Linked DNA regions of Mus musculus. The protein of the gene in region 2 interacts with the protein of the main gene of each other region in a pairwise test. Links are inferred from orthologs where the notes say so. Each region holds a gene or a part of one and is shown on either strand. Other genes may lie near its edges.

Evidence for each region.
Region 1: the proteins of Abl1 (region 2) and Msh5 interact in binary tests that used the Homo sapiens proteins (3 or more experiments, as listed by UniProt). The link is inferred for Mus musculus from reciprocal best matches to the Homo sapiens genes ABL1 and MSH5.

What each region holds. Positions count from the first base shown.
Region 1 is NC_000083.6:35,033,188-35,036,998, forward strand, and holds part of Msh5 (mutS protein homolog 5), read right to left. Parts: intron 532-3,811; coding exon 403-531; intron 109-402; coding exon 36-108; intron 1-35.
Region 2 is NC_000068.7:31,797,650-31,801,422, forward strand, and holds part of Abl1 (tyrosine-protein kinase ABL1), read left to right. Parts: coding exon 1-78; intron 79-2,556; coding exon 2,557-3,773. UniProt on the Homo sapiens protein: Non-receptor tyrosine-protein kinase that plays a role in many key processes linked to cell growth and survival such as cytoskeleton remodeling in response to extracellular stimuli, cell motility and adhesion, receptor endocytosis, autophagy, DNA damage response and apoptosis.

The DNA.
Region 1 (3,811 bases), on a different chromosome or scaffold from region 2:
CCCCCAGGCCTAGGACCCACACGCCCAGCACTCACTGGCATCTATGTCAGGGTCTATGTTAGGGAGGACTGTGAAGCGATTTTCAGCAAGACTTTCCTCAAAGTCCACCTGAGGAGACAGATTAGACGTCCAGTTTCTTAGCACCCAGCACCCTCTCTCTGTTCTGTCCCCCGTTCTCCTTGGGCCCCAGATCCCCCTTTAATCCTCATCTTCAGACACTTCCTCTCAGCATGTTGTTTTGTCACCAGGTGACCCCACATCTCCCATGCGCCCCCACCTCCCACACCACATACTCCAAACCCCAGACCCTTTCTACTCCTCCATCCTGTCCCACTCCTCCTCCTCCTCCTCCTCCTCCTCCTCCTCCTCTTCCTCCTCCTCGGGTGTCTGGCTTCCGCTCACCACCTTCCCGATGAGGCTGGCAATGTGATGCAGGTCGTCAGAGAACTCCTGGGCAATGTCCTGAAAAAGCTGGATGGACTGTGGCAGAGAACGGCAGGCATCCCTCAGGCCGAGAGCACTGTACACAGTCTGTGGGAGAGATGACTGAGAAGGTGACCCCACCCAGGTGACATGGACAGAACGAGAAACACAAGGACCAATGGTGAACACTGAGAGGTTACCAAAGGCAAGAACACACACACACACACAGAGACACAGATAAAAAAACACATAGAGAGTGGGGCATGATGGTGCATGCCTACAATTTCAGCACTTGAGTGGCAGAGGCAGGTGGATCTCTGTGAGTTCCAGGACAGCCTGGTCTACAGAGTGAGTTCCAGGACAGCCAGGGCTACACAGGAGACTCTGTCTCAAAAAACAAGCAAAGAGAAAGAAAGAAAGAGAGAGAGAGAGAGAGAGAGAGAGAGGGAGAGAGAGAGAGAGGGAGAGAGAGAGAGAGAGAGAGAGAGAGAGAGAGAGAGAAAAGAAAGAGGGCTGGAGAGATGGCTCAGTGGTTAAGCCATCCAAAGGTCCTGAGTTCAAATCCCAGCAACCACATGGTGACTCACAACCATCTGCAATGAGAGCTGATGCCCTCTTCTGGTGTGTCTGAGACAGCTACACTGTACTCGTATAAATAAAAATCTTAAAAAAAAAAAAAAAAGGGGGCTGGTGAGATGGCTCAGTGGGTTAGAGCACCCGACTGCTCTTCCGAAGGTCCAGAGTTCAAATCCCAGCAACCACATGGTGGCTCACAACCATCCGTAACGAGATCTGACTCCCTCTTCTGGTGTGTCTGAAGACAGCTACAGTGTACTTACATATAATAAATAAATAAATCTAAAAAAAAAAAAAAAAGGAAGAGAAAGGAAGAAAAGAAAGAAAGGAAAAACTGATGGAGAGAACAGATTATTATTAAATTAAACTTCTGCAAGAGGAGGACAAGAAAACAATCAGGCTGGGCATGGTGGTGCACGCCTTTGATCCCAACACTTGGGAGGCAGAGACAGGTGGATCTCTGTGAGTTCGAGGCCAGCCTGGTCTACAGAGTGAGTTCCAGGACAGCCAGGGATACCCAGAGAAACCCTGTCTCGAAAAAAACAAAACCAAAACAGAAAAAAGGGTTTTAGAAGTCAGGGAGGAAGTATGTTAGAAGAAGCAGAGGGAGGCCAGTGTCCCTGAGAACTAATTCTCCAGGGCAAGGTCAGTGACTGGGAGCTGATGTGACCACAGGTTAAGCTATGGACAGAGCATAGCACCAGAGGGAGTGTCCTTCTGTAGAAGAGCTGCATAAACTGCACAAGTCAAGGGCTGGGACGAGCAGCAGACTCAGTAGCCCCGATAAAGCAGACAGAGTTGAACAACTGACAAAGTCCAAGAATTTCAAACAAGTCTGGCGGGGCCTGAGGCTGTTTGGGAAGCCTTTTCACAGAAAAGGAAAGGAGGTGGGCCTTAAATAAAAACTCCAAAGTCAGCTGAGAACAGAGAGCAAATGAACAGAGGAGGGAGACGCAGTGACCCGCACTGATGTGCCAGACCACGTTCTAGATTTCCTTGTGAGTCAGAGCCCTGTGGGGTGGGCACTACCTCCACCTTCAGCTCACAGATGAGCAGTCTGAAGCACAAGAGGCAATGGCAGCCTCAACTCTCACAGCAAATTAATGAACTGGGGCTTGAATCAAGGGTGTAGCTCCCTTGTTCTCATTGTCACCATGCACCACTGCTAAGCTGCAACCCAACGTTTACTCTGAGATAATATCACACTAAGTTACCCACACAGCTTTCTTTTTTTTTTTTTTTTTTTTTTTTTTTTTTTTAAAGATTTATTTATTTATTATATGTAAGTACACCATAGCTGTCTTCAGACACACCAGAAGAGGGCGTCAGATCTTGTTACAGATGGTTGTGAGCCACCATGTGGTTGCTGGGATTTGAACTCTGGACCTTGGGAAGAGCAGTCGGGTGGGGTGCTCTTACCCACTGAGCCATCTCACCAGCCCCCCCCACACAGCTTTCTAACTCACTCTGTAGCCCAGGATAGCCTTGTGCTTCTTTTGCTTTGGGGGCACAAGGTCTCAATTGGGTGTGATGTCGAAAGTCTGTAATCCCAGCACTCTGGAAACTGAGGCAGATGGATCACAAATTCAAGATCAACTGAGATGTCATAGTGCATTTAAGGCTAGCCTGTGCTATATTTTGAGATCCTGTGTCTAAGCAACCAAACAAGCAAATGTCAGTGCTTATAAGGCAGAGACAAAAGGGCTGCTACAAGTTTGAGGCTAGCCTACTCTACACAGCAAGTTACAGGAAGTACATTGCTACACAGTGAGACCCTGTCTCAAGCTAGACAATAAAAATTTTTGTTGTTGTTGTGGTTTTTGTTTGTTCGAGACTGGGTTTCTCTGTAGCCCTGGCTGTCCTGGAACTCACTCTGTAGACCAGGCTGGCCTCGAACTCAGAAATCTGCCTGCCTCTGCCTCCCAAGTGCTGGGATAAAGGCATGTGCCACCACCGCCCAGCGTCTCTATGAATGTTAAGCCATTAGGGTTTACATAAAGAGTTCTATTCCAGATAGGGCTACATAATGAAACCCTATCTCAAAACAAACAAACAAACAAACAAACAAACACAAAGTTAGTAAATAAATGTGGTGGTTTGAATGAAAATGGTCTCCATAGGCCCACAGGTTGTCGTCTTGTTGGTAGAAGTGTGTCACTGGGGGTGGGCTTTGAGGTTTCAGATACTCAAGCCAGGCCCAGTGTCACTCTCTCTCCCTGTTGTGTTAAGAGCTTTTACTGCCACTTCTAGGAATTTGGCATTTGTCACTGGGCTCAGACAATATAAGAAACAGTGACTGTACTGGCTGGTTTTGTGTGTCAACTTGACACAGGCTGGAGTTATTAGAGAAGGGAGCTTCAGTTAGGGAAATGCCTCCATGAGATCCAGCTGTGGGGCATTTTCTTAGTTGGTGATCAAGGAGGGAGGGCCCACAGTGGGTGGTGCCATCCCTGGGCTAGTAGCCCCGGGTTCTATAAGAAAGCAAGCTGATCAAGCCAGGGGAAGCAAGCCAGTAAGTAACATCCCTCCATGGCCTCTGCATCAGCTCCTGCTTCCTGGCCTGCTTGAGTTCCAGTCCTGACTTCCTTAGGTGATGAACAGCAATGTGGAAGTGTGAGCTGCATAAACCCTTTCCTCCCCAACTTGCTTCTAAGTCACGTTGTTTGTGCAGGAATAGAAACCCTGACTAAGACAGTGACCATGGGGCTTTGTTAACTCCTTTGCTTAATGATCACCTTGTGTGTTTACTACTTCTCTCCATTACTTTGTTTGTGCTCTAAGAACTGCCCATGTGTTTTGGATGTACCTAGAA
Region 2 (3,773 bases):
CCTGCAGGAGAGCAGCTGAGCAGAAAGATGCGCCTGACACCCCTGAGCTGCTCCACACGAAGGGCCTGGGAGAAAGCGGTACGTCTGTCCATCCCACCCCCAAGCCAGGCAGGTGAACAGAAGCTGTCAGTGCAGCTGGCATGGAAGGGCATTAGTCCCTCCTCAGCAGTCCAGCCCAGGGAGGAAGATTCGCTCCTGCCCAGGGGAGCCTTTCAGCAATTGCTTAGACAAGCCGAAAGCTGAGACACCTGCCAAAAAAGCACCCCCATCTTTGCATGTGTTCTTCCCAGCCCTGTGGGCGTCTTCCGGGGCAGTCACAGCACTAAACAACATGGACCCATCAGAGCAGCCCAGGCTCAGTCAGCGCTGGTTTCCTGTGGTCTCTGGAAAGGCTGTCTTCTCCAACTGTTTCCCAGGCTCCACTAGGGCAGTGGGACTGGGTCAGGAGGTGCCTAGAGATGCACAGGGATAGTATGAGCGGCCCTGTGTCTGCAGCTTCCTGCATGCCAGCTAAGCACTGGTACCAGGAAAACAGCATCCTCCTCTCCTGCAGACCCACTAAAGTCAGTTGGCCAGGGGAAGGGGTGCTGGTACCTGAACTCAAAAAGGCCCCCAGGGCTCCCATCATGGGCTGATGGACAGTGGCTTGGTTGAATGGGACCAGGCAAGACAAAGTATGATTCTGATAGGCGTTCATAAGAGGCATTTACTCAGCAGAAACCACATTTCTGGTTTTTTTAAACAGTTGTGATTCTAAACCTATACTTATACTGATTAGAAGCTGACTGGTCAACCCCACAGAACACGTAAGAGTACTCTAGGGACTGTCTTAGCCAGGGTCACTATTGCTGCGATGACTAAAGTCACCGTGACTAAAGAAACCTGGGGAGGAGAGCGTCTCCTTAGCGTATGCTTCCACATTGCAGAAGCATCAAAGATCAGAACAGGAGCTGGAGCAGGGCAGGGACCTGGAGGCAGGAGCTGCTGCAGAGGTCGTGAAGGAGTGCTGCTTACAGGCATGTTCCCCATGGCTTAGTTGGCCTGCTTTCTTATAGAACCTGTGACCACCATCCCGGGGATGGCCCCAGTCACAACAGGCTGGGCGCACCCCATCAGGCACTGGTTAAAACGATGCTCCACAGGTTCGTCTACAGCCTTGTCCCACGGAGGCTCTTACAGTCTCTTCTCAGATGACTGTAGCTGTGTCATAAAGCTATCCAGCACACACAGGTGCCAAAGGAGCTTGTTTGGAAGGTTTGCGTGTGAACTGAGGGTGTTCCTCAGTGTGAATCGCTTGCCGAGCAGTTGTCGGTCACATGTGCTAACACATATCTGTAACTCCGGGTCCTCCTTAGAGACAGAGGAAGTGGTGGCAGGAGAATCCTCAGAAATTTAGGGGCCAGCTAGCATGACATACACAGCAGTGAAAAACAGAGACGCTACCTCAGACAAGCTTGGAAGGAAGGAAGGAAGGACTGGGGTTGTCCTCTGACCTCTCTGTATGCTGCTGCACGGGCACACGTGTGTGTGGCCTTAAAGTTTACATAAACAAGTAAGTCCAAGTTGTAGAGCCATGGATCATCTCCCTCCCCGTGGAGGCCGCACACAAGCTGTCCCGTCCTCCCGTCGGCTCTCATGCTGTGGGGGAGAGGCTGCTGCAGGAGTGTGGGCTAGGAAAGGCCGGTGATGAGCAACTGTGTGTGTGTCTTCCCTCGGTGTCATTACTGACGCTCTGGATAGTCATCTCCTGGTAAGCCAGAGTGCCCCTAATATCTGTGACCCTCAGAGTCTCTCCACCTTCTTCAGTAGGACTGCAGTGTGGAGAGATCGATCCTCTGCTCACCTTGTTCTGATGCTCATCTCTGCTAGTCTTAGGACAGATGTACAGTCTACCTCAGTCCTAGAGGCTGAGGGAAGGAAGTCTCATAGAATTGGCCACAGCGCCGGACAGCACAAAGGCTTTTGTTTGTTTTGTTTTCCAAGACAAGGTCTCTCTGTGTAGCCCTGGCTGTCCTGGAACTCACTCTGTAGACCGGGCTGGCCCTGAACTCAGAGATTTGCTTGCCTCTGCCTCCCAAGTGCTGGGATGTAGCCACCTCTGCCCAGCTATGTCACTCATATTTTAAGAACACCCACATGAAGTTTTGTAAAGGCCATCTTTCTCTGTCACAACAGCTGATTGTCATGCCCCCATGGGACAGCTGACATCTTCCCCTCAGCAGGTCTGACCCTTGGCGTTGTCATTCTGCTGACATTGGAGGGACTCCACAACCTTAATAAGTTTTAGAATGAGGAAAGCAGGGTCGTTCCAGCCCTTGCCCCTCTGGGCCCAGGGAGAGACTTGATAGTGACAAGCTCAGACATGATACTGCTGACAAGGCCAGGCTGTAGGGAATGCCACCATTTTGTCTTCTGCCCTCCGGTGGCACTGAGCTCCATGCTGCCTGTGCCATGAAGGCCGAGGGTGCAGAAGCCCATGGGGAGCCTCCCCACAGAGGCCCAGCCAGCCGAGGGCAGTGTTGGCTGGGCGCTGTTGCTCATTCTTCCCTGTTTCAGATGCACTGGACAGTGAGCCTGCTGTATCGCCACTGCTTCCTCGGAAAGAGCGCGGGCCCCCAGACGGCAGCCTAAATGAAGATGAGCGCCTTCTCCCCAGAGACAGAAAGACCAACCTGTTCAGCGCTTTGATCAAGAAGAAGAAGAAAATGGCGCCGACGCCCCCTAAGCGCAGCAGTTCCTTCCGAGAGATGGATGGCCAGCCAGACCGCAGAGGGGCTAGTGAGGATGACAGCAGGGAACTCTGCAATGGACCACCAGCTCTCACCTCAGACGCAGCAGAGCCTACCAAGTCCCCAAAGGCCAGCAATGGGGCTGGCGTCCCTAATGGAGCCTTCCGGGAGCCGGGCAACTCAGGCTTCCGTTCTCCCCACATGTGGAAAAAGTCCAGCACACTGACCGGGAGCCGCCTGGCTGCTGCCGAAGAGGAGAGCGGCATGAGCTCCAGTAAGCGCTTCCTGCGTTCTTGTTCGGCCTCCTGCATGCCCCATGGGGCAAGGGACACAGAGTGGCGGTCGGTCACGCTGCCTCGAGACCTGCCGTCTGCTGGCAAGCAGTTTGACTCATCCACCTTTGGAGGGCACAAAAGCGAAAAGCCAGCTCTGCCTCGGAAACGCACCAGTGAGAGCAGGTCTGAGCAGGTGGCCAAAAGCACGGCGATGCCCCCTCCCCGGCTGGTGAAGAAGAACGAGGAGGCTGCTGAAGAAGGCTTCAAAGACACAGAATCCAGCCCTGGCTCCAGCCCTCCCAGCTTGACTCCCAAACTCCTCCGCAGGCAGGTCACTGCCTCTCCTTCCTCTGGCCTCTCTCACAAGGAAGAGGCCACCAAGGGCAGTGCCTCAGGCATGGGGACTCCGGCCACTGCAGAGCCAGCACCCCCCAGCAACAAAGTGGGCCTCAGCAAGGCCTCCTCTGAGGAGATGCGCGTAAGGAGGCACAAGCACAGCTCGGAGTCCCCAGGGAGAGACAAGGGGCGACTGGCTAAGCTCAAGCCTGCCCCGCCGCCTCCTCCTGCCTGCACAGGAAAAGCAGGCAAGCCCGCACAGAGCCCCAGCCAAGAGGCCGGGGAGGCAGGGGGGCCCACAAAGACAAAATGCACGAGTCTGGCTATGGATGCTGTGAACACTGACCCCACCAAGGCCGGCCCACCTGGAGAAGGACTGAGAAAGCCTGTGCCCCCATCTGTGCCAAAGCCCCAGTCGACGGCTAAGCCTCCA